Lepisosteus oculatus: one gene and its partner. The protein of the gene in region 1 binds, or shares a complex with, the protein of each later gene. Links are inferred from orthologs where the notes say so. Each region holds a gene or a part of one and is shown on either strand. Other genes may lie near its edges.

Region 1 (17,134 bases):
CGATAAAATGTAATCAACAAATCAGCTTCCTACAAGAGTCACTTTCAGCAGAAATGTCTTCTGGAACACTGAAGTGCTTAATTGTGAATTAAACTTTAAATCTGCATGTAACCCCAAATTTGTTGTTAATTTACTTTCCCAATAAAGGTTTGTTTGGGCAGAAGCATGTTTCAGAATAGAGGTATGAGTTGAATTAAGAGAGATTAAAAGTGATTGTGCTATAGATTGCTATGAACCACTAAGGTTGTTTAATTGTTTTGTTTGAATTATTGCCTTGTATTTTTACAACAAATGAAACATTAGCCAGAACATGACTCTTCTTTCCATGTATTAAGTCCACAGTCCCTGGAGACAAAGCACACTGGAAGTGTTTTACTTAGGTGTTTATAATAATAATAATAATAATAATAATAATAATAATAATAATAATAATATTAAACTTTATTTTATATAGCGCCTTTAAAGGTGGCTTCTCAAAGCGCTTTACAGGATGACAATAACAATAAATAAGAAGACTACAACAATAAATAAGAAGATTTCACAAGATAAGACACAATTACAATTACAACAATAACAATAGAGGAGACCGTGGAAGTGGTACTAAGAAGAGCAGAGGGGTGAAGAATGGAACCAGTTAAGTAAAGGCTTTTCTGAAGAAGAAGGTTTTGAGTCTGGATTTGAAGGAGTTTAGAGAAGGTGACTCTCGGATATCCTTGGGCAAACAGTTCCAGAGCTTGGGGGCATAGCAGGAGAAGGCCCTGTTGCCCATACAATGTAGACGGGCTTGGGGGACAGTAAGGAGGGCAGAATTTGAAGAGCTTAGGTTGCGAGGTGGGGAGTAGGGCGATAAAAGTTCAGACAGGTATTGAGGTGCCAAGTCATGTAAAGCCTTATAGGAGAGCATGAGGATTTTAAAGTCTATGCGGAATTTGACCGGAAGCCAGTGCAAAGACTCCAGGATAGGAATAATGTGAACACTTGCACTAGACCTGGTCAGGATTCTGGCTGCTGAATTTTGGAGATACTGCAGTTTGTTCAGAGTAGATTTAGATACCCCAGGGAGTAGAGCATTGTAGTAGTCAATTCGAGAGAATACAAATATGTTGATCAGCTTTTCAGCCACAGTTAATGATAGCATAGGGTGTAGTCTTGCGATATTTCTAAGGTGAAAAAAATATGTTTTGACAGTATGCTGTACATCTGGGTCGAATGTTAAGCCAGAATCGAATATCACCCCAAGGTTTTTCAATTTTGATTGAAGCTCAAGTACAGAGCCGTCTACAGATAAGGTTTTTGTTTTGTTTGTCAACATTTAAGACCACATGACACACTTAGTAATTTTAAAGATAATTGGCATACCTAATTTACATACAGTATGTCATACCTGTTCACTAAAATAATGGGTCCATTGCAGGGCACTGAAAGACACAGACACTCACACCAATTTTTCCAGAAAGCCAATTAACCTACCAGCATGCCTTTGGACTGTGGGAGGAAACCGGAACCACCTGGTGGAAACCCACGTGAACATGGTGAGAATATACAAACTCCACATAGATTTTGCCCCAGGTCCAGAATTTAACCTACTGTAGGATCCTAGTGCCATAAGGTAGCAATGTTAACCCATGCGCCACCGTGCTGCTCTGTGAGTGTATATTTTTTTCTGTTGAGATGTAGCCTTTGTCTTGTGTCATGATCAGAAACATAGAAATTAGCATTTTAAATTCAAGGGCAACAAAATTAAGTTAAAACATTTAAAAATCTTCTTTCTCCTGACCACATATTTATTGTCATCGTTATATAAATTATTTAGAATGCTCGTCAAAATGTAAGTATTTCCTTATTTCATGGTAATGCAACTATTATTCCTGTAAAACTAATTTATAAGTTAGTTTATAGAGATTAATTCTCAAACAGCAGGTAAGAATTGTAAGAATTCAAGATAACTTAGATACTTGGATTAGGAATTGGTTAATGGACAGGAAACAGTGGGTAAAGATAATGGGTGAATGCTCAAACTGGGGTGATGTAATTAGTGAAGCATCTTCAGGATGCATATTACCACAGCTCTTCATGATTTTTATTGATGATTTAGATTCTGCGACAGTTAGTAAAATGTACATTTGTGCATTTGTATGGATTTGCAAACTGTCTTGACTATTATAAAAGAAATAGGAGGATTTGCAAACACTGCAAAATAATTAAAAAAAAACTCAGATCAATTTCTGGACTGGGAAATCACCTGACAGATGAATTTAAAGAAGACAAGTGCAGGATGTTGCATGCAGGCAGCAAAAACAATAACAGTAAATATAAACAGAGAAACAGTGAAATAAATGAGGCTACTGTTCAGAAAGACTTACAGTAGGTGTTCATATTGACACATCATTTATGTCTTGTAGACAATGCAGGGAAGCAATAAAAAGATAACAATATATTTAAATAAGTTGTTTCAAAGTGCAGAACTTAAATCAATAAATGTAAACATTGTACAATGCGCCTAAAACTTATTTAAGTTGTTTTTAGAAATTTGGTTTGTCTCTTCACAAAGAGGCTTAAAGGAACATCCTACACTGACAGTGTAAAAGAACTAAACCTGTTTAGGCTTGAACACTGAAGTGTACAAGAGGAGCTTGCTTGAGTTTTAAAATCCTCAAAGGCATTAACAAAATCAGTCCAATTGACTTCTTCAGAATCAACAGCAATGTTGCAAAAAGGATTTTATGGGGTCTGGAACAACCAAACCGGTTGTATTTGTGAAGTCATTACAATTTACTTCACAAAATGGCTGGATGAGCATTTTGGTTCAATTAGCCGCTAGCAACTATAGAGCTTCATGTATGCTATCTTATGAATTCATTTAAAGAGTTAAATTTAATTTTTTATTTCTTTAATCACCATGTCCGTGGCAGAAAAATCATTTTTCTCTGAGAGCCACTTGTAAATGAGATGTATCATGCTATTTCCTTCTGATAACGTCGCTAAATGACAAGGTTTTCTTAAGTACTGGGATTTTTAAACCTTTACTGATGTGATTTAGCAGGATTACATGCTATTTTTATGAGCAACACCCTCAGTCTCTTCTCTGAGTGTGTCCTACAGAATTAAAACACCCTCTTGAACAAAGAAATCTGACTATTTTTATGTCAGCAGGCGGCTGCTCATTCCTCTCTCTTAGCCCATTGGCCCCATTCAGGCAGCCACCCCAAAAATATTCAGTGAGGCAGATAAAGAGGCTTTCCACAAGTCTTGTCAGAAATATTTTACTCTATACAATCTGATTAAACCATTCAGCCAGTGCATCTAGATACTTTTTAACAGCTGAAACTTGTGGCTTTGCTCAGCTAGGACCATTTCAAGACTTGCTTCCTTCTTCATGGGCATTATCTTGTAAGCAAGCCTGTTGAATAGTAGGGGACTGTAACTTAAGCAGAGTACCCATCATGTTCCGTAAGCCCACAGTGAAGGACAGAGGATTATCAAGTTATTGACCTTAGGATATCCTGCATCAGGAAGTTAAGCCACAGTAGATGTAACGTCTGCTTCCATTGTTACAGTCTTATCTCATTTGATGACTCTCTTGAATCCAGCACAGTCTCCTAAGCAGCTGTTTTTTGACAAACAGCTGACAATAAAACATTATCATTTTTTCTCGTGACACCATATCTGGAAAATCCACCTTGCTGTAAGTTAAAGATAAATGGTAACAGAATTCATTAATAAAATAAAGAAACAGGAGACCAAAATCAAGTGCAAATGATGAGTCCATTTACAGTAAGTGTATGAAAAATATTGATAAAATAAGGAGGTAAAACCGACAAAAGGTAAGTAGTCAAAGTGACGTTTTATAGGGAAGCAACTAACAAAATGCACAGGCCTAAGACAAACCAAGCTGTGATACTACTGTAGTATCATATAAAATGACAGAGTCCTGATGTTGGTGAAAGATGAGTTGTTTATTTCGCATTCATACGGAAGAGAAGGCGTTGCTCAGCACTTTTTTCATACACAGTGACAGACAAGCTTCCTACTTTTGACATACTGTAGAATGTTTGTTGTTATTGCTTACATTTGCAGAACAGGGCATTCGACTTACCTTTTACTGCATTTAAGACATGAGCTGTATTTTTCCACTGACCTATAGATGCCCCCTGGTGTGCTTCCACTTACCAGGGTTAAAAGCAGTTAGGAAGCTAACTGGTACAGGCAAAGTTACACGGACTAGACCTAAACTAAGACGAAAGTTACTTTACTACACCATGATTGCAGATAAAAAACCAAGACTCTATGTTAAACATGTAACGACACGTAGTTTAGGACCCTGTGCAGATGGTATAATCCAGAAGTGACTGGAAAAGGGCTATGGGGAAAACACGGTGGGGAATGGAAGGGATTGGCGAACGGGGCGGTGCCGACAGTGAATCCAGGTGCAAGGGGGGAACAAAGGAAAACAAAGTCTAAAAAACAGTCCAATGTAGAAAATCCTATGTCCAAAACAGGGAATCCATCCAAGACAAGACAGTTAAAAACAGGGACAGGGACAGGGACATGGAACAAGGAAATTAAAAACGGAGAGACGAGGCCAGGAGCTCCAAGCCCCAGACTCAGCTTGGTCAGGACGCTGTTAGGAAGCCTAAGACTTCAAGCTGTGGATGTAGGGCGACTTGTTGCTAGGCAGGCCTCCAGACATCCATCTTCCAAAGCAGAGCACCAGGTTGAAATAAAAAACAGAACAAGGGGCAGGTGAACTTTATAATGAAACGAACACAAAAGGATTGGAGCGCCCTCTAGAGGAGGGATGACGTTCATGACAAAGCAGAGTGGAGTCTACACAACACAACAAAAAAATGGAGTTGATAAACACAGCAGTGAGAGAAGTTTATGGAATCACAATCGCAACACTCGTATTAACAACATCACAATAAGTCCTGTTTCAGACTACATAATGGAAAATGCACTTAACATATTAAATAGTGTTACACTTGAGGAGTCCCAAAATATAAATGTGTTCTCTTTGGCATCTGCTATAAAATATAATGTAATATCTGTAAATATAATATTCAGATATCTGACCAAGTTTTCACTTCAGAATAATTTTATGTACAGGAAACGTAATTTTAATTCATCCGTCCAATATCAGAAAGTGACTTCTTCTTTGCAAGGTTTAGTGTAACCTGGAACATATCCCAGACATATAGAGTGCAACACATCCTTCATAGTTCATGTCTCTTGACTCCACAGTGTTTTAAGAAGGATGGTTGGTTGGTCATTATTGACTCAATTCTGTCAATAGATAAAAGCAGTTAACTGCCAAAAAAGCATAGGCTAAGGTAGCATCATTGTTAATGGAAATGAAAAACACACACTCCCAGCTATCAGCTTTGGACAGAAATCTCATAATTGTTCTTCAAAAATAAATTTCAAACACAGACATTTTACCAATTAGTTATTAGTGGGTACTACAGTAGTTAATCAATGAAAAGGTGTAAATTAATCATATTTGACTAGATCAAATTAATTTTAATCTAAGAGGCTGGAACTATTATTAATTGTGATAGATATGAATAATTGTGATAGAAAAATTAGGAATTTTATTTTATTAATTTATAAATGTGACTGCTCCTCTCAGGAACTACAGTATTAATCGCGACTTTGAATCCTTATAAATGTCACGTCAGAATGATCACAAACCATGCAAGACTTGCATGCACATATCTTGATTGAAAAGACCAATTAAGAGATATAAAGTTAAGGAAATTTATAACGTGCTCAAAGAACTTATTGGAAGCGTACTTACATTGTCATTTTTCTGTCTTAAATTCCTGAAATTTCTGTAAGTGCTTTTCATCCAGAAGCATTTTGGTGCTTTTCATCCAGAACTTTACATATAGGGGTGGGTCCACTTCACCAGTGAAGTGCAGCGCCCGTCTGGGTAACCCACAGCTGTCAAAAGGCACCAGCATCCCCACCGCACAGCAGAACAGCTAGAGAAGTAAGAAACTGCTTCACCTTTTGAATAAAGGAGGAACTTTTGCAAGGGCAGATTGTTCCAGCCCAGAGTGGAATTCAGCCAGGACAACAAGATTAACCTTACTCTTATGAATGTGGGATCTTTAATGACAGGGTATTTATTGGGAGTCAGGACCTTGATTTAAAATCTCATCTGAAGGAAAGAGAAGATAAATGTGAGATTCAAGAGAATTGTATCAGTGTAGCATTCACTGTTAGTTTCAATCACACTCATTCAAAAGTATTATAATATTGAATTATAATAAGATTGCATGGTGGCATAGTGGTTATAACTGCTGTCTTATAGGACTTGGGTCCAATACTGGCCTAGTGCATATTGTTTACAGCTTTTGCATGTTCTGTCCATGTCAGTGTGGTCTTTTTCTGGGTGTTTCAGTATTCTCTCACCCCTGAAAAATGTAAGCTAGGTTAATTGGTGTCTCTTAATTGTCAATGGATCTAAAGTCTTGTTATGCTATGAATGAGTCATCAGTTTTTGTAACTAATCATTTACAGATACAAACACATATGAATGAAATGTTAAGATATTTTAGAAAAACATTTTGAATCTCATTAGCTATCTCTGCTGATTAATGATTATAAGGTTTATTGGAAACCATTTTTTTTCTAGATCCAAGTGCTTCAAAGTGTTAATGTGACATGTTTGTCTGTGCTATGTGTTGTATTGTACATATCACTTTGTTATTAAACAAGCCTACATTCTTATATCCCTTAGTTTGCATGTTTTAACAGTGAAATTATATCTTTTACAGGTAAAAAAGGTTTTTCATTTATTGTAATGCAAATGTCAGAAATCAAGATTCAGGCTAAGAAGATGTACTGTAAGAAACTTCAAAATAATTACAGCATCTTGCATTCCCTTACAACAATGTTCCATTGTGGTGAGATACAAATGAACTGGTACTGTATACAATACCATACACATATTTAATGAAACTTGAATACTAAGACTAAAACCTATTGGTAAAAAAGTTAAATGTCAGAAAAAACTGCAAAGATATGTCAACGACACAATCTTTGACACAAGTATTCACCCCTTTACTATGGTTTATCAAAAAATTTTGAGAACATCACAGTACATCACATCAATTGGCAATCAAGTCATCAATGACATGACAGATGCAGAGCTCAATTGGAATGAAAAAGAGCAGACAGTGTTCCTCTAGGACCAGCAGTCTACCCCATTCAGTCCATGACTGGCACTGGCACATACAGTAACTGGAAAATGAGTTCAGATGATATGGGGGATGATTTTCAGAACATGCAGCTGGTGCATTCAGGTTCTTGGTATTTCTAATATATTAGTAATGCAGGTTTTACATTAAGCTTAGCGGATCTGAAAAAAAGCCTAGAAACAAACCACCAGTGGAAGCTCAGTTGACTGATTACAACTCAGGACTCTCTGCAACAGCAGTTCTGCGCTGATGTTTCTCTAGACTCACAGGACTGCATTATTCATGTTCTGCACTATTGCCAGCAAAGCACACCTTGCCAAGGAGCATAGCTATCAGAGAAGGGCTAATACCTGATTGTGTACATCAAGTGCTTTCAGAATCGAATACTGTGGCAGTCTTCCTTCTTAAGCATTGTCAGATGGCCAGGCTAGGTGACTGAAAGGAGGAAAAAGCTTTAGAAAACCTTCATGTTAGATGAAAAGAAGAAGAAAATTGTAGTCTAGGTGATATTTTAGAAATGCCCGGTGACAGAGCTCGTACTGGCTTCGAGTTTTGCTTACAGTATATTGGCACTTGTAATGTGAAGTTATTGTAATTCCATAAATAGGTGCAGGAAGTTAAAAAATTAACTGTGCAACATAATTGAAGTGAAAACAATACAGACAAAGGAGAGAAGAGGTTTGATGGACAGGTCACAGCTTGGATCAATTAGATTGACTGGCCCTGATTTTTGCCACTGAGACTCTGAGACCAACACGTTAAAAAAAAAAAAAAAAAAGCAGTCTGGCAATCCATGTTCAGAAGAATGGAGAGATCTGTAAGAACATGAATGCTTTGTGGTATCAGCACCACCTCATCAGTACTGGTCCTTAGTAGTTTCCTGATAGGGCTGTGTTTTTAAACATTGTACTGTAGGTAACATACTGTAATACCATACTGTACTCCCAAAGCAGGTTTTCTGAAGATTTTAGATTCTCTTAACTTCTAACTCTCTGCACTTTGTAAAATTGGGCTATGACCATTACAGCTACAGTAATTGTTTGAATGTATAATTATTCCCTGGTTTGAAGAAACACTGTGAAACTCACTGGAGTTTTGTTTGTTGCGTATACTGTACCTCATTATTCTGTAAACAATTTTAGGCAAAAAATATAAAAAATATTTCTTCTGAAAAAATGTAAAAATAGCGTAGTATTTGTAGTAATATTAGTGAAGGTGGTGGCAGTTTTACTAAAAGAATTGCACTTTGTGTTATATTTGTTTGATGTGCTGAAAACATTTCCTCGTATTTAATAATATAACTCGTAACAATCTCTATACTTAAATATATATAATATTTTATAGGCCTTAAATTGTGTCTTTATTAAATAGTTACTGTATGCAATAAATACATATGCAGTAATTCATCGTTTATGTACTGTATACGGATTTTAATCTGAAAAATGATATTGATGAACACAGTAACTCTTGACTAGTACTGGGAATGAGCCAAAAACAAACACGATCTATCAGATTAAATAGGCAGTCAAGACAGATCTGCTGGTTTTGTTTACTCCAAGTAGCCTGTGTCCTGTGTTAAGATCTCTGGGCTATTGTCACTACTCTGATGTCATCCGAGCCGCAGAAGCCGGGGGAGAGAGTGGAGGAGTGACTGAGCGGTACAGTCCGTGCTGTGCTGTGAAACTGCGAGTACAGGTGTCTGGCTTCTTCATAGCCACTATCAACAAAGTTTGCGTCTCCAAGAGTCTCTTTTGCGAGCGAATAGCAAATATATCAGCTTGGTCTCAGATTTTAACCACAAAAGAATACCGAAGGTGGAATTGCAATTGTGCAGGTATGTTTCAATAAACCTTACTTTATTTTATTTTTTTTAGTAATCTGTAGTATTCGTCTTCCGTTTTCTTTTCATTCATGTGATTTGGTAATGTAATACCCTTTTTGTACAGTACATGTACAGTAGACGAACATGATGGTGAAGTCGTTTAGATAGTAGACGTTTCAGTAAAAAAAAAAAAAGATTTTGTGTTTGTGCTTGTTCCAAAATATAGATACCATATACGTGTTCGTTTATGTTTTATAAACAAATATTTGACAGATTGTATTTCGATGAACGTTCTGACAGACTTTATTTTTGTAACATACAATGAATTAGCACTCTCTTTAATATATATGTTTCAGACTATGATATAAGAACTGTTCTAAATATTGTTTCTTCTTCTTACTCTTACTTTTATTAAGATCCACAAGCAATGGAGAAGCCAGTGGAGATTTTTAAAGAAGACAGTTGCTTCCCTGTCTCGTCCGAGGAGTGCTCCACATGGCTGTCTGGTTATTTTGACATAGATAATGTCACAGATGAGCACGGCTGGGCAAATCAAACCATGTCGCCTATCATTCCCATCATTACTGCTGTTTATTCCGTTGTGTTTGTGGTGGGCTTGGTGGGCAACTGTCTAGTCATGTATGTTATCATCAGGTAAGATTCAAATTTATATTTATAATATTTTTAACATGTTAATAATTATTTCAATCAATATTTAATTATTTGTTTTTACAAATTTTATCAGTTGTTTTTTTCCCCCAACGTTAGTTCTTATATCTCAGAAACCAAAGTTCCTATTTAGACTTCAGTGTTATAACTGTGCCTTTTCATTTTGAATACACGTGAGCCACCCAGCGGTTATTTTTAACAGAAAATAGCTCTGAAAATGAAGACGGAGAACTGCAATAAATGTTCAGTAGCCCTTTTAGCTTTTCTATTTAGCAAAATGTTGAATTTAGATTCTCTGCATTAATTTTCTCCCTCCAAAAGACGCTGTCTTTTTATGCTGCATTGCACTATACGCCTGATATGACCTCATCTGCGGTGAATTTTCATGACATAATATTGGCATGAGGAAAACTGATTTATTTCCATAAATCAAGTAATCTATATAATGGACGTCTCTGAAATAGATTTTCTAAGGACAATATTGTTATTTTATATATTTACTGTTTATTATTAATCAGTTATCATTTAATGTAAGTGGGCTTGGCTATATAATATTAAGACCCGAAGAAGGCTTGATAACCGAAACGTTTTTTTTTTCCTACTTATCAGCGTGGACATAACCTTTGCTATTTCCCAAATAGTGTTATAGTAATAGTGCAACAAAATATTGAACATATAAGACCCTAACAAACGTAATAAATAATATATTAAATAGGATGCTATTAGCAACTTAGAATTGGTGTGAGTTTTATTTCTCATTTGGACATTTTTAATTTGATGATTAAAAGTCTTAGACAGCCCTACTTTAGATGTTAATCATAACCATTTTGCTCTAACCTCCAGTGATGCTTAATTCTTTTCAGGACAACGTACCCTGAGTAAAATCATTACATCTTGCCTCCTCTAATTTCCTAGTCAATCAGTTTTCCATTCAATTTTCCAACTGCTTCATCCAGTTCAAGGTTGCGGGGGAGCCGAAGTCTTTCCCAGCAAGTAATGAGAGCACGGAGGGGTACATCCTGGGCAGGACGCCAGTCATAGAGACACAGATACGCACACACTCACATCTAAGGCCGGTTTTCCCAGAAGTCAGTTGTTTTTGGATTGTGGGAGGAAACGGGAGCACTCAGAGGAAACCCACATGGATATGGGGAGAACATACAAGCTCCATGGAAATACGCCAGGTCCAGAATTGAACCCAGGGCCCCTGGTTGCAGCACTGTGTAGCTGCAATGTTAACCACGGCACCACTGTGCTGCCCTCTAATCAGTATGTGATTAATGCATCACATGTGATTAACGTATGTGTAGTTACTTATTTGGGGAGTGTAATCTTTTGCAACAAATGATCCTAATGTAGTTTGATAATGACAACATTCACCCACGATACATGGTGCTGTCCTCACCTTTTAACCCATTAAATATTACTTAAGCATTATTTTGCATGCCATACCGTGATGAATTTTATGCCCGTTAGTCACAATAAAGTCAGCTTTTTATTGGGTTTATTGGGTCTAGCTACTCTCATGCATTTGTTACCTACTGTCTGTTCATGATTGCTTATCATTTCATTGACAATCAAGTTTTCAAATCTTAAATATCATTCACATGTGCTTTGGCATACTGTATTTCCCACACCCATAGGGATATTTTGAAATTTGGATTTCTCATATCAGTGGCTGGTAGGTTAATTGGCTTTCTGGTAAATTGGCCCTGATGTGAGTATGTGGGTTTTGTAGTCCGTGTGCCCTGCAATGGATTGGCATTCCATTCAGGGTGTACCCTGCGTAGCACCCACTGCTTGCCAGGATAGGCTCCAGCTCTCCCATGACTTTGATGTGGATGAAGATGGTGGGCCCCCTGCTGTTCAGCATTTACACATTTGCACTTGGTCAGGTTATTAAAATCATACATGCCGAATTATCATTTCTATGCTGAAGATACTCAAATGTATGCCCATACTAAACCTGACAATGAAGTAGCTGTTTCTGCACTTTCTAATTGCATCTCTGATATAAAAACCTGGATTACTTAAAATTTCCTTCAATTAAACTGTGATAAGACTGAGGTCATGCTACTCAGCACCTCCCATCACCTACAGTAAAAACGATACAGTAACCCTCTATGGATGGCAATGTGCCTGAATTTCAATCAAAATTTAAGAATGTAGGGGTGTTATTTCGTTATGACTTGATTCATGTACAGCATACTGTAAAAATATAATTATTTTATCTTATAACTACAGCCAGATAATGTCCTATTGTTGTCTTTGTCTGTAGCAGAAAAGCTGATCAACACATTCGTCTTTTGAGAAATCGATTACTGCAACACCCAGCTCACTGGGGTATCGACTGTAAATCCATACTGAACAAATACAGTATGTTCAGAATTTAACAGAATCCTGACCAGGTTGCATGCATGCGACCACATTATGCCCATCTTGCACAGAAGCCTTGCACTGGCTTCTATCAGGTTTTGAGTCGATTTCAAAATCTTCACGTACAAGGGTCTAACTGTACTTGACTTGGCACCTCAGTACCTATCTGACTTATTATCTGCCCCCACGTCACAACCTTAAATGATCTGATTCTGGTGTTCCATACTATATGTCCCACAAGTTTGTTTACATTCTGCTGGTGATAGGGCCTTCTCTTGCTACACCCCAAAGCTCTGGAATTGTACAGTATCCCAAAGGATATCAGAGAGTCACCTATCCTGAGTGCATTTAAATCTGGACTCTTTCTTTTCAGAAAGACTTTTATTTAATTAGTGTCTGTGTCTACACCATTTTCTAATGACCACGTACAGTATCTTCTGCTGCACTTCTAATCCCTTGTGTTTCCTATACGTGCTTATTTTGTAATTTGCTATCCTTATAACTGTTTTCTTTTAACTGTTTTTTTACATCTACCCTAAAGCACTTTGAGATGCTATTTAAAAGGCACTAAATGAAATAATGATTATTATTATATCAATTTACAGCAAAAACTATTTCATATTAGTGTTGATGATTGTAATTTTAATACAGTAGGCCTCTTGATCAGAATAAATATATTTTGAGTACTGATGATATGCAGTATACTGAGACTGGGATGCAGATTGAAGTAGTGTTTTTATGTTCATTCAAACTCATTCTTAAATGTATACTAATCTTTCCATGTGTTATATATAAATATATAAATATAAAAAACAAAGCTAAAGAAAGCCATCTAACAAATTTAGTAGTGTTGCCTCTTGTCTGCAATTTTCCAGGACATCAGAGGGGCATACATTTAGATTTAAGATCAAGTTAGTTCTGAACTGACAAAATAAAGACATTTTTAAATCATTCTGCTTTTAGCATAAGGGAATAGAAAGATCATTTCCCCCTTATCTACAGTGTTTAAGCTCTGTAAGTATCCACACATCATTCATTTGTTAGAAGTCAAAAATAAGATGTCCCGATACAATTTTTACTGTATTAAAAATGAATACTGTTGGTAATAAGGTGATAAATATTCAGCAAACTACCAGGCACATAAACGCCACAAGGATCTATAGCATAGTCTTATTATATCCAGGACCTGATGATCATACAATTAATATTTATACCACAGACATAAAGCACTGTGGAAATTGTGGACATAGATTTTTTTCTGAAGGTAATCATTTCAAAATGGCAGGGCTTTGGACTGCATGGTACAAGAATCATAAAATGATTTATGTAGTTTTTTTCCAGTATGCTCAGTATTAATCCTTTCCACCGCTGTTTAGATCTCCAAGACAACAACAGCAACACATTCACGAATTGTCCTTAATTCAAAACTGTTATCATATAAATGTTTACTCTTAAAGTTTATTTCATTTTTTAAAAACATTCAGTATGCATTGGGGAACAGTCACAGATATGTTTAACATGCTGTAAGAGCTGATCACAATGTGGCCTCTCTATTTAAAGGATAAAATATATCCTGTTGTAATATGTACATACAGTATGTACAAATGTACATAATACGTTGATCCTTTTCTTTAACTGACATGTCTCACCTACAAATGTATTATTTTAATAATTCATATAAATAGATATATACAATACTTTGCATTTGATAAAAATGCAACATTTAGAAAAAATCAATCTACAATCATTTAAATGGAATAAAGTTGTTTTTAGTAAAATATATTTTTAAACAATTATGATTTCTTTATTGTCAAAATATTGTGTATCCAACGTAGAGAAAAAAAATAAAAAATACAGTAAAAGTTGTACAGTATTAGGTACAATTAGTATCAGTATTAGTAAGTGAAATTGTAATTTTGGCTATGTATTAAAGACATTTGTATTTCAGGCAAGAATATTAATGTGTCAATTTCAACTTTTAGTCCTGGATTTTAGTTTGTAAACATGTTTAGTCAAGTTAGAAAAATATAATTTGCTGTGTTTGTTCCTCCTATTCTAGTGAGTATCAGTACTGAGTCAGTACTTGGTCACAGACTCCTTACTCATCAACATCATCAAACTCTTGATATGTTCCTTTGAGATGCTTTCCCAATCCTTAACTGTAGCCACTTTAATGTTGTTGGTAGTTTGTGGGGTTTTCTGGCTTTAGTTTCCTCTTCAGCAAGTAAAATGCATATTCAAAAGGACTCAAATCAGGTGATTGACTTTTCAAAAGTTGCCACTTCTTCCTGATGAACTTCTTGGTTTCAGTGCCAGAATGTTTCAGGTCATTGTCTTGCCGCAGGGTGAGTTACCACTCAATGTGTTTTTGTAGACTTCAGAATTCATTCTGCTGCTGCTATCATCAGTTCCATACTCAATAAAGTGAGCCAATTTTCAGAGACGTCCGTGCATGCCTAAGCCATGCCATTACCTTCATGGTGCTTCACAAATGAGGTGTTGTGCTTTGGGTATTTGCAGTTTCTCTCTTTCTCCACTCATTTGCCTTTCTGTCATTTTGATAAACATTTATCTTCCTCTTGTCTGTCCATGAAACTTTGTTCCAGAACTGTTGTGGTTTATCTTTGTACTTCTTTTCAAATTCTAATCTTGCCTTTCTGTTTTTAGTGCTGATGATTGTATTTTGCAGTACAGTGAACAGTGAATTAAGATACTTTCACCCTTGCACTCTGTACATTTTTCTGCATTCTTTTTGGGTGTTATTTTATGGTCACCATGGAATTTGTGTTTCAGTTTAATGTGAGAGATAACAATAGAATGTCATCTTTTATTGCTGGATATTATTTTGCATACATGTCTTCATGCATATAGAAAATTACACTTATGAATATTTCACTTCACTGCACCAATATTTCTGCTTTAGTAAATTTGTCGTGTATGCTAAATTAACCATTAAAGAAAAGGAACTATGTACACTATATGCTGCAAGTCATATGAGTAGACCAGTAAGTAGCAGGAATCACACACTGATGTGTCATCCTTCAAATGAGACATTAAACCAAGGTCCACACTACTTAGTCTTTATATTCCCCATCACAATTTTTTAAAGTGTAATAATGTTATCTCTGGTGCCATGTCTAAAAGTCCACCATGGACTTGTAGAATCTGGCCTTCGAACTAGATAGAATAAGACAAGGAGGACCTTTAAAGGTAATGAAGGTACTGAAGGTAAAAAAGATAAGAACACCTAAAACTTGGTTATAAAAACATCTTTCAGCAAGACAGTGATCAGTCCTGACTTAAATCCAATTGAGAATCTATGGAAAGACTTGAAAATGGTTGTCCATAAACAATCCCTAAGCAACCTGAGAGTGCCTGAGCAAATTCATGAAGCAAAACGTGAAGCACGCGTAATTTACTGTACCAGCTATGCACAGTTACAAATGCCGAATTATAAAAACTCAGTGGAATGTAGTACTTTGAACAGTAGTACAGTCCCACCTTTTGTCCTCAAACCCATTCCCTTTTATCTTATGTGAGAACAGCATGAATCCACTTTCTTCACTTCATACTATTATACTTTTTTGATTGATCCTTCCATTATCACTCCTTAATACCAGACTAGGTAATAGTGCAGTGAGAGAAGTCATTTTCTCCTAACTGCTCCAATCACCATGACTCTTACCAGTAATAAGCGTCTTTTAGAGGATGCATACAGTAGATGGACATACTGAATTTCCAAATAAACCAGCTTCATAAAAATCTGATTATTTGATCCTTCCAGGTGCTTCACAACTGTCCATTTGGAGAATCCCCGCAAGAGTTTGTGTGTGATTGTTTTGATTGGGTGACTAACATTTTGTTTGAAAGCCTTTCTGAAAGAAAATTTCCTGCAATATGAGAAAAATGATGGGGACAGTAGATTTTTTTAGAGCAAAACAGTCTTATTTGACCAGGAGTACAGTTTTAAAGCACTGTTGGATCCCAGAATGCATGAACATGAGGAAGACTGTAATGTATTATCCTTTGGATATTTCTGTTATTTTAAGGTATTCTGATGTTCAGACATTCTGAGATCTTTTTTCTCTCAATGGTATGGGTACTTTGCATAGGGCATGTGTACTAAAGGGTTTGCCAGGTTTGGTACCAAGAACATGTCAGCAGGTACTTTGTATTCTTTAACCAAGGAATCATGCTACAGTATATCTCCTTTTTACCAGTAATCATTTTTTATATTATTATTATGATTTTAAATTGCATTTGTGTTGTTCAAAACAGTTGATTTTCATTTTTTTGTACTTCATACCCATTCATATACAAAGCCAGCATTACTTATAAAGAACATTCCGATAGGCATATATTCCTGCTTTCCCTGAGCTTTCTTACACATACAGTACTGTAATTCTTTTATTGTACATTCAACAGAGGGCATGTATTGTTGGCAATTCATTGCATAGACATACAATAGCCATACAGCAATAATTCTGTCATTCGGTCTTAGCAATATAATCATGCCAAAGACACGGCAATTGAAATATTTTTTTACCTTCCACTCAGTCTCATTCATTTCATTTGAGTAGGGTTTAAAAACAGAAAAGTATTGAAGTCTTTGTATCATTTAAAAAAAAATACTATCTTGACCTGACCATTTAAAATTATTGTCACATTTCACTAGCAATAACAGCACTCAACAAAAAATATGTTTATTGAATCACCGTGGGCCAACCACCTAGTATCAGAACAACGAAGTTAGGACCCCCTGCAGAGTAAGGAATCAAACAGAGGGTTGTAGCAAAGGTGGTTATGGGGTGGAGGAGGGATTTAAAAAAATGAATGCAAGGAAGAGAAGGTCTTACTTTGGCATTTTTAGCTTTTTGGGAAGTGATATCATAGATGCTTACAGGTTAGGTCACCTCCTTATGTCAGTGCTGCCATTGCTCCTGAAATTCCCAAGAGGCTTGAGCTCATGATATTTTCAAAAACAAAATACTGTACAATCTCATGTATCGATTTTGAAGTAAAATATTCTGAATGTTTATGGTATTTGAATTATTATTATTAT
Region 2 (17,243 bases), on another chromosome or scaffold:
AGATGTATCGTGGCCCTTATTTGTGCTTTATGTAAAAAATAATGCTTTTATTTGAAAGATGCTCGAATGTGAGGGTGTACACCAGCAATGGTTCTCTCCTCTCCTTTTTCTCTCAGATATTTCAAATGGGGGCTGTTGTCATGGCTTCTTTGTGTCAGTGAAAGCTTTTTGGCCATGGATTCCTCCTAGACCCAATGAAGGAGTACACCTGGAAATTCCATTGGGAATATTTCCAGCTACCGCAGTCTTAATTCCCTTTCGTTCTCTTAGATAGAGCGGTGTGTGGAGATAAAAAGGGATAATTCAAGCCACTTGGTGCAAAATCCAATTTATTTCAGAATCAGAACAGATAAAAATAGAAACATCAGAAACATTTTGTGTGGCAAGAGGCCCTGTTCCTCATTTGTTTTCTAGTCACTAACTGAAAGAGCTCCAAATAGCCCTGGTTTAGCTCATTATTTCAAACTTTTAATTTTAAGAGTATTTGGAGAGGTCACGACGCTTTCTCAAGAGCCCACTGGGTGGGATGCACCTACTGTACCTCTCAGTAGCAAATCCTTCTTGAATTTTGAGTGTACGGCACTCTGCCTCTGAGCTGCTTTCACTCCCATCAAGAGCCATTAAAGTCTCCCACAAAGAATAAGAGGAGATCATAAAGTACTTCAGCATGCAATGCAACACCACAAATAATGGAAAATAAACTGAACTGAGACATAAGCAAATAGCATCAGAACTTAACTAGATGTCTAAACAGCCAATATAAATGAATACATAAATCAGCGCCGCATAGTGTCCAACCGGGTACTCTTAACGTCAGCCCTGACAGAAACGTTGCGTTTCCTTTTTTCTCTTTTCAGCATGGAATAAACCTTTTGTTTTATAACCTTGTTATCTACTGCTGCTTCGGTTGTACATTTCCAGAGAACAGACTGAGGTCTGGCAATTTCTCACAATGGCACACACCTGGAGCTTGCTAGTGACAAGACTTTTACCTTTTACTTTTACTGTAAGAATACGAAGCCCTCTGGCTGCATCTTCTTCCAAATATTTCAATATTTGCAATAATCCTGCTTCTCTTCCTTTCTTCCTCTAATTAAATGGGCATAGAACTGAAAACATGAAGCAGACATTCCCAAGAGATAAATGACTCAACAGAATAAAGACTGCACATCTGTTGCAAACTGTCGCTTATATTAATCAACCATTTCTCCATACTTGGCTCTAAGGGAAAGGCAATTTGAGCAGTAACGACACTTTTTGGCAATTTTTCTACCTTCATCTCATTTACAGTAACCACTGATCATTCAGTATGACCTGCACTTTCTAAGCCGTGCGAGTGAAGACCCTCCTAATATTTTTTACTGTACAGGTGACTGAGAGATGTACTAGAAGTTTTTGAGTCAAATGACGAGGATAAATCATCCAAATCTGTTATTTCCTGCTATGTCACCGCTTCCACGATTGCCCGAAAAGGAAAACATAGCCAGCCCTTTTGAATTTATTCCTGTCGCTGGCCTTCACTTGCTAGAATGGAGAAAGATGCTTTCAGTGGCTCATTCATTCTGTATTGTGATTGCATTTCTCTACATGTGGGCTCTACAATAGAATTAGCAACGCGAGAAAGTAGCAATTAAATTCTGTTTGACCTTCAAGCACAGCATCTGTTAACATTCAAGGAGAGGACGGCGCATTGAGCAAACTTAAGAGTAGGAGGAGGTTGATCCGGGTGCTTTTTCTCACCCAGCATCATTCTGATTCCCAGCAAGCACCAGAGGAACACAAGTATTGCACAACTGAGGACAAGGAACTTCAAATTGTCATCCTTTCACAATACATTTTCCAAGTGCAGGGATTTTCATACCTGGAAAACCAGTTGCCTTAATATGTTCTATGTACAGGTAGATTCTGATGGATAGTGAACACAAGCAAAATGTAAGAACAAAAGGCCAAACACTGCTATAATCTCAATGAAGACCAGTGAATTACAGCCAGTCTTTTCAGCACAACAATAACACAGGAAAAAAGGTAATTCTTCACATTTTTACCACACTGCCAGCCACTAATGTTAAAATAGCTGGTGTATATAAAACATTACATTACATTATCAAGACAGGATTCTTGGCTCTCTTCAACATGACCCCTCAGACCCCATCACCAGCTGGACGTACCCATTTGCAAATGGCTATTTTCATATTCCTCTTCTAAAATGTATCCAAAGACATAAAATGTTACAAAAAGGAAAATGGTGGATGCAATGTTCTAAAACATCTATAATCCTTTGCTTGAAATAATCAAATGATGATGTTATGATGTTATGAGTGAATGATGTTAAGTTGAAATAAGCAGCGCTTTAGGAAAAAGTTTTATGAGAAATGTTTACATAAAAAATGCTTTTTTAAAATGTATATGTCATCATCAACATTTATCCTTAGAAGACTGTAAAATATTGATGTAAATAATTACTAAATTGGTTATATGACGAACTGCTTTAGAATAATCATTTTATAACTGGCAAAATACCAATGGGATCTTAAAAGCTTGCATTAGCCTTTACATTTAAGACTCACAAACATCCTCAGTGGAAGAAATATATCTTTAGGTTACATACAGTATATCATGTTATCAAATAGCTGCATCGACCTTATATTCCTGAAAGACAGCCTGATAATTACAAGGAATAAGTAAAGATGAATATATTTTCCTCAAGCAAGATGCAACATTTTTATTTTCGTTATTGTGTAATATGTTTGAATTCTTGTTCAGACATGCTGGGAATCATAGAAATGGAATCAAATCTTCATAAGCAAAGTAGATCAACACATCCTGCCCAATTTACAGGTGTCTAAAGAGGAGCTACACCAGCAACAAGTCCAGACTCTGGATTGGATGATGCGATGAATTGCAGACAAGTTAAGAGATGAGAAAGTAAAGCTTTTGTTTATGTAATTGTAGATACTTTCATGTGAAGGAACCTCGTCGATGAATGTCAGCGATGGTGAATACGACTTCTCACGATCGTAATCCCTCCTCTTAAGGGCGCTCCGGCTCTTTCACATTTAGCTGATTCTGTGTACCTGCCCCCAGTCCTGCCCCTCCTTATTTAAGCCGGGCGCTCTCGCTACTCCTGCCTCTGCATCGGAAGACGGACGCCCAGAGGCCCGCCTACCACCAAGTTGCCCTATGCCCGCGGCTTGAGGGCGTAGGCCTCCTATTGGCATCCTGACCCAGCTGAGTCCAGGGGCTCCAAGCTCCTGGCCTCGTCATCCCGTTTTTATTTCCCGTCCCTGTGCCGGATCCCTTTCCGGTCTTGTCTTCGTCTCAGATGGACCAACCAGATTTGGACGTTGGACTTCACCCCGGACTTCCCCCTGGACTCCTTGGACTTGTCTGCCATGATCACACACCCCCGAGCACCAGTTCACTGTTGTCATGCTCCCCTTTCTGTCAACCTGCCCTGATCCTCATCGTCTCCTCCCCGTTGTCCTACTCTCTTCCGGATTATACCGTCTGCACAGGGTCCAGCACTATGCATCGTTACAGTACCCTACTGATTATGCTAGTGAGGCACAATTCCTTGATGCAATGTAGACCACTTTATACTGCCAGGTAAACCAACATTTCCTTATTGTGGTCTCACACAGCAATTCAATTGAGCGCTTAACTAAATCTAGAACTTGGAACTAACTTGGTGCTTTTCGCTTTGTTTTTAAATTGTTTCTTTAAACGAACAAGATATTGAAAGGGGTGGCATGGTGATGTGGTAGTTAGCATTGCTGCCTTGCCGTGCTGGGGACCTGGGTTCGATTCCTGGGATGCTCTCTGTGTGGAGTTTGTATGTTCTCCCTGTGTTCACATGGGTTTGCTCAGAGAGCTCAGGTTTTCTCCCGTGGTCCAAAGACATACTACTGCTAGGTTGATTCGCTTGTGGTGTGAGTGTGTTTCTGTGTGTGCCCTGCAATGGACTGCTGTCTTGTCCAGGGTGTAAAATGCCTTGCACCTGTTGCTTGCCAGAATAGGCTCCGGCTCTCCCATGGACTTGATTTGGAAAAAGCAGTTAGATAATGGATGGATAAAAGATATTGTATGAGAGCAAGTTTAAATCTGCAACTTTTGAGCAGCTTGGAATGGCAAGAAAAATGTCCATGTTAAGCATGTTATTAGCCTGGATATTAATTAGATATTAATTCAATTATGCGGCTGAAAGCTCAGCTGAAATGATAACTGGCAGGCATTGGGGTAAGGGGTAACAGGAAGTCCATTGCAAAATCACTCACTAAAGACCCTTTACATTTTTTTAATTGGACCAAATAGGCTGATAATGAGTTCAATGAGGTAATTAAAAGGCCGCGAGGAATTAACTCCGGAAGGCTTGAGGGGCCAGACTCTTGTGAGCTGGAGCTGTTTACCACTGCATCGGACTGGAGAGGAAACTAACAGCCATCAGCTACTGAGCAGAGCAGAGCTTCCTGGTCCCAGTGTCTACTGGTTTAATTCCAGCTGAGCTCTCACTTAACTTTCATCCTTTCTGATTGACAGAACGTTGCAGGTTCTGAATGTTTTTTGTTTCCGAGATTTGGAAATCTTTAAAAGGTGGAGAGTCTTACAACAAAATGAATCAAAGAATTTGACCGATGAAAGAGACGTTAGAGACATTAATGAGGCCACAACTGGAACCAAATTTGACCAGGCAAAAAGCTTGACGGCAGAGCTCTAAAATGTGTTCAAGTAAACAGATTTATTTTCCAGCCCACTACACAGAAGTAGTTGATTCAATGAAACATAACTAAACAAACTACAAAGGTCAGCTTCATTGTATTTCCAAACTGTTTGTCCAGACATTTCTGTAACAAAAGAAATTAACTTTGAATATCCTAGCCATTCTAGCACTAAATATCTTTAAGGTATTCCTAGGTTAAGGTCATTCTTTGCAATGTCTTTCTAGCTGTTATAATCGAGTGCAGTCCACAGGAGTTTGCCAGGAGAGAGACGTGACACTGTATTGTCAAGATTGTGCCTGCTTCCTGCTCATTCTTTAACGGAACAATTTAACAACTTAAGGTTATTGTCCAGTTCCATTTCTTTTCATTTGCAGCTCTGCTTTCCACGTTTTCCTCCATACACTCTTTGTGATCAGGCACTATCTCTTGATACAGGGTATATAATGGCACAACAGAACAGGAGGAAGGGTCTGAATTTGTCCTTACTGACTCTTTGGGTTGAGGATCTGTTCCAGGCCTTTCAGGAAAGATTGCAGTGAATTCACTTGAATGACATGGAAGGACAACTCATCCCAGACACCCACAACTCTCTGTCCAAAGAAGAGCTATGTCTTCTGAGTCCTAATACAAGTTTGTGTTTTAACATGTCCTACTTCGGAAACATCCTGTTTCTTGCATCTTAATAAATATGGTGGTGCCACACCACAAGGTAGATTATGGAACATTGTAACTGGTCTGACAGATGCAGAGACTTACAACTGGTCTGTAGACATTCACAGAGCTGTAGAGATGAGGGTACTCTATGAAATTGTAATCTGACCAATCAAATTAGTAAATAATTTAGGTAACATTAACTGTTAAACGAAAGTTGTTTATCAATTACATCCTTTCAAACTCTACTGAACATTACAATTCAAACTGTCCTTTATAAACAGCTGTAATTTAACAAATAACTTCTGAATAACCCATCTTAAAACTGGGGTGTCCATGCTTTTACCACACTGTGTGCAGCTGTCTGGACTGCAGCCCTGTAAACTCTAAATTAATCACAACTTCATAGGATGAATGAGTGTTTGATGTAGAGCTAACACTGAGAAATAAGTACAGTATATCTCTGTCTTTATTGCGCTTACAGAAAAAGCTGTACTCAGTTTTACCAAAAGCCGATTAACCAAACAGAATGTTTTTGGAAATCGGAGCACCTGGAGGAAATTCATGCGAACCCAGAGAGAACATACAAACTCCACACAGATAGCAGCCCAGGACCGGGATTGAACCCAGGGCCCAACACTAGCCACTGTGTCACCGTACTGCCCTCTGCGTGTTTCATGTTTAAAAAAAAAACAACTAAAAATGAACATTTCAATTTAAAAGTCTGTCTGCAAGGAGCATTTTATAGATTGATATGTAATGAAATCGTGCCCATTGCTGGAAGAGACTGGGGCAATTGATTTAGGGTTTTTTTTTAAATAATGTCATGAATCAGTGGCCTTTCTATTTATTTTACTATGCCTTGATAATACTACTTCGACAATACCTTGTACAGAGAATAGCCTTGTTCAAGGGCAAAACGACAAAGCACACTATACAATAAGCATAACAAGACATCAGGAAGAAGAATAGGAATGTATGGTCGAGGTTGCTAAGAAACTGCTTATTCCTAGATTAAATCACCCTGAAAACAGAAAGATACATTACTTTTTAAAAAAAATCAGCAACAACACAATATTTCAGTCATGTGCTGGCTTTAAATATTTCGACAGGAAGGATCCATTAATAATTACCAGGAACACCTCACCTTTCTTCCCAGCACATCCTGCACCTCACCTGTCTGATTTTTGAACACCATCAGGCCCTGGTGATATTTTAGTTTTAGTCCATTCTAACCCCTGGAGAATGAGCATCACCTATAATAAAACTACCAGATACCGATGAATCTCCTTCTATAACACATGGCATGATGCTGACGTTTTTAATTCTTAAACCCTTTGTGAAGTGTTCCTTTGACATGTTTATTTTTCCTTCATCACACTCCATTGTCAATCCCTTTCATCTCGTGATCTGATTGCTCCCGCGTTCACATTTGTGTTACTGTGAAGGACGGGAGAAGTTCTTCCGTTACTTTTTGCCTCTCTTGCAATATGGATGGATGGATTTGAAGGGATTTAACAAGAAAGTCAATAGAAAAAGGTCTGTGATCAGGAGCCCACTAGAGGAAAAAAATGTCTTTTCATCAGAAAAAATGACAGTCCTTTTCTCTTTTTTAAGTTTTTTGTCCAGATGAGTGTAAATGCATCTTTCATTGGATGTTTCATTCATGAGATTGAAGAACGATGATGTACAGGAAGCCAACATGCAAGGAAGGAGAGTGGCCCTCCAGAATATACAGAAGAAGCAACATTAAAGGACAGACGTACTGTACATAGCAGTTGCAGGTGTGCTTGATTGCTAAAGGAATATGGGTGGAGAAATGCAAAAGGCCACAAAAAGATTGCACTTTAAAACATCTTCCACCTCTGCCTGAGTAATAGTTCTACTGCATCTGACATAAAATACTCAAGAAAAAAATAATTGGGGAAAAAACATTGTTTTATGCATTTTATGAATTTATTTAAACAAAAAAGAATATAATTGCCTCAATAATTCTTGTATGTAAAACTGAAGAGATGAGATTCAAATTGGTTCATTCCTAGAACAACAGAACTATAACATGCTATCTTGGAGAGTTATAATCAATCAATATTTTTGACAAATCAATATACTTTACCAAACAATATGCATTTTTCTTAATACATCAGTGAAGAATCTTATTTCAGATACAGAGTACTGCTCTAGTATCTTATCTAGTGGTGTTTGTTTAGAAAAAAAGAGTCATTTTAAAGCCTGATATTGCTTTTTAAAGAACAACGTTTAATTAACCCCCTTCACATCGTGAAGTATGATTCATATACTCTGCTGGGTCATTCCAAACGATGAGTGGATGTAAAATGTGAAGTATGATTTAAAAAAAATCTTCCTTTACGCGAACACTTAGCCCCCATTATAAAATAAAAAAAAATATTATAAGACTCATGGAACAGCAAGTTGCAGGGTTTGGTATACATTAAATATACCATAAATATATATCATGAATATATTTATATTCTCTTTTATCAGAAAAGTTTGCCTACGTACCTGAAACTTATAAAATGAAATTATTTAATTAACTAGTTATGTTACAGTTTTTGTAAATCCCACAGAAACTGTTCTTTTGACATTGAAATTCTACTTATCTGTACACAGAGAAATGCAGAATTTATAGTCTGGTGGCCTAGACATGCTTATTTACATTACCATTAGAAAGTCCAGGATTAGTGTCAATTAAGGTCTGTGACATTGACATAACATTGCATTACAGCTGCTAGACTGACGACAGTGAGAAATTCTACAGCTTTATGACAAGTGTACACATATACATACAGTATACTGCATTTCTACATAACAGGGATAGAAGTCTATATAGTTCAAAATTAAAAAGAAACTTCATATTGTTCTAAAAAGCTTCCTGTGTTCCACCATACGGTCGCTACTGTAAATACATAGTCATCCTTTTCTGGATACTTATTCCATACATTCAAGGATAGAGACGTTGTGTTCATGGTCAGGTAAATTAATGGAAACCGGTTTGTTGAGAAAATGGTGTTTGGTTTCACTGTGACGCGAGCCTGTAGTTGGTTTTTGGTCCTTGATAAAAAAAAGAGGCACGCTATTTTCTCATATCGTTTGAAACAAACTCTCTCAGGATGGGGCGTGTAAGCTCTCCGTCTTTCCTGTACACGTGGAAATATGTTCTGTGAATAAGATGAGCTCTTCCAGTATTATGTTGAAAATAATTATGCTTTCGTTTTCTGCTTTTAGCGTGCTTTCGAATACAGGAAATGTAACTTTTTACAACTGAGTTGACGACACAGAAAAGACTCGATTCTGTCGGAAGGGAAGACTCAATATTTACAGCTTTTAAGTCCCACTTTTGAAGGTTTTGACATCAGGTTTTAGAAATGATTGGTAAAAAAAGACCATATTAAAAGGTTAATGATTAAACATTTAAGTGTAGTGAAAGTATAAATAATTGCAACAGGTTTAGATTCTCACTATTCTGTATTGGGTGTTTTTTCCCTCTAAGAAGTATAAAGGCATTACCGATTTGTTTTGTTACTGCCTGAACGTCCAAACCTAATGTACTGTATCATTCCTTACTGCATCGAGCATTTCCTCCATGCATTGCTTGACATAACAATAGAAATTCATTTACTCTCCCGTCAATACCAGTTAGACCCCAAACGATTAAAAATAATTAAATCTCCACCCCTATTATAATTAATGGCCAAAGCAGTGTATTTATTTTTCAATCATGTCCGTCGGCGTGCACAAAAGCATTAAATTCTTGCCCTGCCAAGGCTGAGAGGGGGAATGCGTGTGGGAGTGTGTGTGTGTGAGACAGAGAGAGGGGTGTGAGGGGTGTGAGGTGTGTGTGGTTATTCATACAACCAATCACTCTTATTGGTCCAAAAGAAGAATCTATTCTGATGTCCCCCAGTGACACGACAGAGTCTCCGTCTTTATAAAGACGGGGAGCGGGCAATGGGATTTTAAAGAACCAAAGAACTGGGACTCATCATAACTTGACTCCTTAAGATGCACTAGGAGATTAAATTAAAGCAAGAAAAGAAGGAAACTCAGAAACTGCAGATCAAGTGGCAGAGGTGAACCCGTTGGCAGGTGGAAAAGCACTAATTCGTTCACTATTGCTAAGGTAACTATTTCTTTACCAGATCATTTTTTGATTTGATAACGCATTATATTGGCGCAATATACTACATTTATCATTATAATAATAAAATGTAAAAAAAAACAGTATTAGCAGGCAGTTAGGCTGTCCTAATACTCTTCTTGCACTTTAAACGCTTGACTTTTTGTTTCTTCGGCTGCTTTTACTTCTGGTAAATGTGTTATCGGACAACGTCTGGGTTTGGGAATAATCGCCTCATCTTCTTTTGCAGACGTGGTCATGCAAACTATTTCGAGACATTATAGTACAATAACAGTTTGAAGACGAGCCCATTAATATAATGGCTAAGAGCGACTGATGCATTGTTGTAAAAAATAATTTATGAATAAGGGGAAATAGTGGGTATTTAAATGCAAAACTAGCCAGGACGTACCTTTAATTAATACTTAAATAGGCTACTTGTGTTTGTGTATAAACAGTACCTGCGTACGAGCAGCATTTTATATAGAGAAAATCATACTATTCAGGCTGAAGACGCGCGTAGCTTTACCATAGAGAGAAACCCACACTAATTAACACTTAATTGCAGTCGTGATTGTTCTGTAATTGGCTTGATCACCTCTGCATTTGTGAACTGTGATTTGGATAAGACTGTCATCACTACCATTACGCCACCTCTGTAGTTACAGTAAATAAATGTGAATTCTATAATTAGACTGGAACTACAATGTTTTTGCTGACAAGTTCTGTTAGGCTCAGTAGAGAAGATATACATAAGGGAAAACGTTTCGTGTATGTATACTGTTTAAAAGATATAAGAGATTATAGAAACACGGAAGAACATCGAGTAACGATGTAAATGTTCCGTAAAATAAGTCTTATGTCCTGACCCTTACGATCGTATTATTTTATGTTTATAAGACAACGATAATCAGAGCACTTTACACTACGGGAAATGTATATTAGGTGTAATGACATGACGTGCTGGTGTAATAAATGAAAAAAAAACATAAGATTGAAATGAGGCTAGCGCACACTGAAAGAGCAACCCAAGTTCTGCGCAAACAAATTTAAAGAGTAAAAACTGATTAACTGTACAGATAGTGTATCCTGTTTGTATTATCAATGTATTATAAGCCCAATTAAAATGTTACGGTATTTTATATTGTTTACATTCTATGTAATACATATTATACAGCAGAAGAAGAATATACGATGTACACCTACAGTACGCCAGTTTCTTGCCAGTTTCTAAACGTTCGCACCTTGTTAAGCGCAATAATTGTAACGGGCTGGATTAGATGAGGGTACTTACGGTCAGACGTTTTCATACAGTGATTCGATCTGCTAAACGCTGCAATGTTATCAGGAGCGCAAACTGACGCCCCAAATTTACGGTGTGAAGGCAGCGCTGTGAGACGGGGCTCGCGTTGAAGACGTGCTCCGTACAATAAGCACAACTTTCTAAAAAGCAAAAGCCATGTCTATAAACCGAGCTAAATGCGATATTAAATCGTCTAGAGACTGTGAACTGGTCATAAAGCGACAAGGATACCTTTTAGGTACTGTATGCGTTATCTTTGCTTCCTCATAGTGCACTGTGCTAACCGTTCTGTGCTGGGCGATGTCTTTGCTTTTCAGCCATCGGGAGAGATAACGTTAAGAGAATGGAGTGGTCAGTGTTGGCTTTGGTTCTCTGTCTGAGTTTGCCATCCTCAGTCCAAGCAGACTGCTCTTCCCAGTGCTTAACCTGTGCTCAGCAGATCCCCAATGTCAACATCAACATCAACAGTCTGGTAAGACAGCATTAACTGTCCAGTTTACTTCGGGTGGTTGGGCTGCTTTCTGAAAAACGACGTGACAGGGCGTTTTTGTTTCTTTGATATGTTGAATCACTCTCGGAACACCAAACTGAAAAAAAAAACATTCACCAACTCACGGTAAATTATTTATTTTGTGTGCACATGCTTGTTCAGTCAATCATAGGCATGTATTTCCATTCCATTCACAAAATAAAGGTATGCTTTTTAACGCCTTGCGCTCTGTATAGTCAAGCTGAACCACGTGGGACCAGAATGGGTTGTATCAGTCAACATTTATTGGACAATTTCTGTTCACATCAGAGTGTTTTTAAAATATAATCTTTGGTTATGTGTTAAACACACTTCGGTGTTTTAATCCCCTTAGCCAGAAATGAAGATTTAAGAATTTAGGGGTTTTGAAAACAGGACTCTTTTTAGATGGAGACAACATCGATTACACACGTTTCAGCACCATGGAGAGTTACATCGGTTGGTAAGCGGCTAATCGAGAAACCCGGTGAAATGATTTTGTACAAGTGTTACGTTTCTGTTGTTGTTAATTTGATCAAAGATGTTATCATCGTATAAAAACAAGTCACGTAATATAACTTCAAAATATACTGCCATGTGCCCCCCAAATATTGTGAAACAGGAGCGGTGCATAGCTTAACATCAATAACAAAACTGCTCCAAGTACAAATATGTTCGAGAAACTATAACTCTCGTCAATGGCGTTAGCTGGTTGTATCAGTGTGAAGATGAACAGACTCAACAGAAAGACGCGTAGTTTCAGCATTACGTTCAACAAACCGGTAAGTTAAGGACTCGGGGTCGTATCGAGGATCTGTCGTGTTGACCTTATTTTCTACTTTCAGGCTTGCACGTTAGAGTGCGAAGGGGCCCTGGCGTCCACCACAGAATTAGAAAAATGCGAGAAAGCCCTTCAGATGTACTCCGCCGGTTTGACGGAGAACGAGCCGAGCAGAGCGGACAAAGAAGAGAAGGACTACCCCGCCGGCAACTTAGTCAAGCGGTACGGCGGATTCATCAAGAAAGTCGACAAAAACAAAATATTCAGTAGCTCCCCGGCGCGAGAAAACGCACACCTCAAGGGCCTGCTGGCCAAGAAGTACGGGAATTTGCTCCGGAAGTTTGGAGAACGCGACGCGCCCGAGTTGCTGCAGGACAGCCAGGTCGGCGACGGGACGTCGGAGGACGAGGAGGTGGTCTACAATGACGGCGCTGCCGCCCTGAACGAGGTCAAGCGCTACGGGGGCTTTCTGAGGAAATTCGGTCCCAAGAGAAGCCACGACTCCGCCGAAGAAAGCAGCCAAGAAGAACTGCAAAAGAGATATGGAGGGTTCATGCGGCGAATTCGACCTAAGTTGAAGTGGGATAACCAGAAGAGATACGGTGGTTTTCTAAGGCGTCATTTCAAAATCTCTGTTCGGTCAGACGAAGAGCCTAGCTCATATTCCTACGACGGTTTCGACCTATAGATCGTGGGAGCCGTCACTGAAAATGACTTAATGAACTTCTAATGCAGATGCACTGGAATTTTCACTTTCACCCGTAGCTCGTTTTTCATTTTCTTCGCTTGTAAGACCCGACGCCAGGCAGTTGCACTGGGGTGTGCGCAGGGAGCTCTCCTTAGCTTGTCTATCACTTCTGAAGACCGACAAAACAGTGACACTTTCATTGTATCTGTGAAACGAGAAGCGTAGGCCTAATCTGTATGTTGCCAAACATTATTCTATTCTTTGATGCTTGTTTAATAAAAAATAATAAAAAAAATAAATGCAAGTTCTTCCTGTGTCCGAGTTTCAAAGAAAATGTTACCTTTCGAAATACTAAAAGTGTCGAGAATTCAGATGAAGATAAAAGATCCTGTACAGTCTCCCTTGGCTGCACACAAGGTAATGACAGTGCAAGCCATTTTCACAATATCAATCCATCAAGGTTTATGTATCAATGCACGACCAGTACAGCATACAGCTGAGTTGTCGGCACTGAAATGCTTCACTCTGCTTTTACCACACGTGTACCATCGCTCAGAATCGAGTTTAACCACGATTTCCTCTGATTTTATGGCACCTCACTCTGTCTTTATCACAATATACAAGCTGGGGAGCGGGGGACTCTTTTCTGCGCGATAGTTTCGCTATTGCGTCTTCTAGGGTCTCCTCCTCACTGATAGCTGGGCGTACTGGCGCAGTCTGGCTGCCATCGCATCATCCAGGTGGGGCTGCACACTGGTGGTGGTGGAGGGGAGTCCCCATGACCTGTAAAGCGCTATATAAGTGTAAGCTGCTATTAATTATTATTATTATTATTATTATTATTATTATTATTAGAGGTGCAGCTATGAGTGGACGCTGTCACCAGATTTGTCGTTTTAATACAGCAAGCACGGCGCGTTTCTCCCATAGAGACAGGCATTTTTTCTTCTACAAACCATACTACTAAATACTACTGTTTTCAGCTGACTCCCAGGAACAACAGGTATCTGTCCGTATCTACAGTATATCACAATGCAAGGGAAGTCCCTTCAGAGACACAGCATAATGTTCCAATTGTGATCTTTTTCTTAAACCTAACTTTCTATACTGTATTATCAATAATATCAATATAACCCACGTACCACGCCCTGTACCCTAAAATACAACTCCTGCACCCCGAAGTCTGCTTTCACAAGCCAGTACGACAGTTTTAGTACGACTCTCAAATAGTTTAAAGGGGAAGTGAGATTACTGGGAAATGAATGAACTACTTTGACATGCTGAAACATCAGTCATTTTACTGTTCTTCAAGGATGTACAGTACTGTAGCACTCTCGGGTTCACGTGGGTATGTGCCCTCGCCGCTGCCGCCTCAGGTCGGCCCCCTCCATAGGGACTCGAACCCGGGCCTCCGGCTTCTCAACAAGGACCCACCCAATTGAGCTAAAGGGAAATCTCCCTTCAGCCCGCCGGTTGCGGTCCCTGCTATTTATTAACAACCTGCAATGGTGGCCGTATGTGTTACAGTATCTTACAATATCTAATGATCTTGAAATGTGTTGGTATTCTATCTAGCCAGCCCTTTAGTGTACATCTGGCTCCCCCAGCCGCTTCCAATATTTATTACAAGCCCTTATACACTGCAAAAAACCTCGAAGCTTAGAACAACGACTTGCACCTGCTTACAAACTGGAGCACCTGGTCACGAGACACAGCCGGTTAGGTTTGCCGGCGTATGACGTCATTCACCCGAGATCGTCAAGTTCAGCGAGAGTTCCGTAAACTTTAATTATTGTTTAAATTACATCATCGTGAGTATTTAAAAAGCAAACGACCCCCCCCTTAACTGATAGCAAAACCAGCACACGTGTATACCGCATCATGTGCTTTACTGTTTATTTAAAATTCCTTTGTAGATTATTTACAATCTGCCCTTGTTTCGCCGTTTTTTTAAAAGTTGATTCTCTGAAAAAATATGCGTTGGCTCCCTCTTCTGTAAAAACGGTTTAATGCAGCTCCAAATGTGTTGTTAACAAAAACTGAACGCTAGTGATTAGTCATTAGATTTGAAAATATCTGCGTGTAGACATTGTTTGGGACGTATTGCTGTCAGGATATGTTTTTATCCTGTAAATATAACAAACTTAAATATGCGTGCAAAATGTGCTAATATGACAAAGATACTTCAATTGTGTGACGCATTAAATCCGGTGTGTAAGTATTTAATTAATTTGAAATGTTATTAAGTTGCATCTTTGTTTATGAGCTATAAACTCGGACAATTATGACGTCATCTATGATCTATTTAAAATGATCAAATGCCGATGCACTTTCTGCAAAACCCATTTTAATTTCTAACAGGCATGTATACAGCAAAGGAACTGCTGTAATTGAATAAGTCCTTACTGACAGCAGCATTACTATATCATCTAGTGTAGTGATAGTCACTCCTGCACAGAGAAGGGCCCAGTCCAGCACGTTTATACACAATAAACAATCCTCAGTGAGGAAAGACTGGAACCAATGGTAATAAAGACCAATTAAGAGAACAACTGATCCAAATTAAACCATAAAAAGGCCAGAGTGGAATGAAGACCAGGAGACATGGTGGATTCCAGGACTGGCAGTGAATATTGGTGACTTTGAGTGTGAGAGACCTCTAAACCCAACTGCTTCTGCATGTGGGTTACTGTGACCAGTAGGTGGACATTAGGAATCTGGAGTGTTCTGGAGAATTGGTGAGCATACTTGAACTTGAACTTTATTGCCCTATGTAGCTGGTACAAGTACTGGTACAATGGAATTCTTACTTACAGAAAGTCTCTCTATTGTTAAAGCAAGTGTAAAAACACAAAGTGCAGACTGTGCATATAGACAATATACAAACAAACAGTAGACAATGTACAAGTAAACAGTTTGAATGTAAACAATGACTGGAGATGTGCAATAAATAAGAAATCATAATGAGGTAGGTGTGGTCTGAGGGGCATGGCCAGATGTGTTCGCCAATCGCACTGCTTGTGGGTAGACGCTATTGAAGAATCTATGGGTAAGTGTCTGTATGCTCTTATCTCTTGCCTGAGGGCAGTAGGGTGAAGAGCTCATGCCTGGGGTGGTGACTGTCCTCTGTGATGGCCAGAATTCTACCACAGCAGTGGTCCACATAGAGCTGTTTAATCTCGGTGAGACCATCTTCTGGGCCATATTGACCATTCTCTGCAGCGCCTTTCTCTCTCGAAGAGGTGTTGCTGTAGTGGTGAGGATGCTCTCAATGGTGCAGTGGTAGAAGTTCACCAACACGGGTACTGGCATCCCCCAAAGCTTGAGGCACCTCAAGAAATAAAGGCGCTGCTGACCCTTCTTCATGATAGTCAGTGTTCACAGTCCAGGTTAGATCTTTAGAGATGTGAATTCCCAATAACCTAAAGCTGGTGACTGTTTCCACTTCCGTTCCATCAATACTGAATGGGCTGTGAGTGTGTGGCCTGTGTCTCCAAAAGTCCACTATTAGCATACAGTACATGTGCTTCTTTGAGCTGTCCCGAGCGGTTTGGGACTTCTTTGACTTCTGTAAAACTTTGTTGGCACTTCTGGGAACACCAGCTCCATTTTGGAGTGCTTGGGTACATTTAGAATCATTTTGGAGGAGAGTAGCAGATTTTGAAAGATTTGGAATTCTTATGGGCTTAAGAGATCACCTGCATGTGTTTGGGAGAATTGGTGAGTGTATGTGTGCTTCTTTGAGCTTTGAGAATTTCAAACTATTGCCCCGGTACGCTGACCGAGAACACCATACTGTAGGATGGCAGTTTCGGGCCCAGTTCTGGAGGGAGCACTGGATCTGCTATGTTTTTCTAATTAAGCTCTAAATCCCCAGTGCTGATTGATGCCTTTAACTGCTCTGCTTGATTAAACTTTTAGTATAGTTTGTTCTGCACTCAGGCGTGAGCTTCACAAAAAACCTACCCTTCAGCACACAGAACCGTCTCTCTTCAACTTCCTCACCTTTTTTTCTGACCGAACCGCTCTTAAAATTGATTTATCGAAATCGATTTGTGATGAACAGACATAGGTGGGGATGACACAGTATCAAAGAAACCTTCAATCAGCTTTCCCCCCTTTCTCCAGAGATCCAATGGGTTACATTTCAGGCAATGCAGCTGAATGAAGTCAATTCTGGGACTCGGGAAGATAAAGGGTTGATTCCAATTACAAATTCCACTTCACCTTGCAAGAATCCGAAAGAACATTTCGCATATAGGTCCAAAACGGAAAGCTGAAACGAATTTGCCATTAATGAAACCATTGGCTGAAAAAGAGACAGTGGTGTCCCCTGGACCAAGAGTTTGAGCCTCTAGACTAGGAGGTACGGTACTTCAGATGAGGTGTTGAAGCACATTTACTTGTGCTTATTAAAGATCTCATGTCACTGTGTGTAAGAGTAGGAGTGGTAACT

The links.
Region 2: the proteins of oprk1 (region 1) and pdyn are in contact, whole or in part, in a cryo-EM structure (PDB 8F7W), measured with the Homo sapiens proteins. The link is inferred for Lepisosteus oculatus from reciprocal best matches to the Homo sapiens genes OPRK1 and PDYN. Residues at the interface, in NP_000903.2 of Homo sapiens: Thr111, Gln115, Trp124, Val134, Ile135, Asp138, Tyr139, Met142, Lys200, Glu209, Cys210, Asp216, Tyr219, Lys227, Val230, Phe293, Ile294, Glu297, His304, Ala308, Leu309, Tyr312, Tyr313, Ile316, Tyr320; in NP_001177821.1 of Homo sapiens: Tyr207, Gly208, Gly209, Phe210, Leu211, Arg212, Arg213, Ile214.

What each region holds. Positions count from the first base shown.
Region 1 is NC_090701.1:48,512,360-48,529,493, reverse strand, and holds the start of oprk1 (kappa-type opioid receptor), read left to right. Parts: upstream 1-8,831; 5' UTR 8,832-9,039; intron 9,040-9,443; 5' UTR 9,444-9,454; coding exon 9,455-9,681; intron 9,682-17,134. UniProt on the Homo sapiens protein: G-protein coupled opioid receptor that functions as a receptor for endogenous alpha-neoendorphins and dynorphins, but has low affinity for beta-endorphins.
Region 2 is NC_090711.1:13,059,960-13,077,202, reverse strand, and holds pdyn (proenkephalin-B), read left to right. Parts: upstream 1-9,340; 5' UTR 9,341-9,510; intron 9,511-11,127; 5' UTR 11,128-11,153; coding exon 11,154-11,282; intron 11,283-12,163; coding exon 12,164-12,787; 3' UTR 12,788-13,095; downstream 13,096-17,243.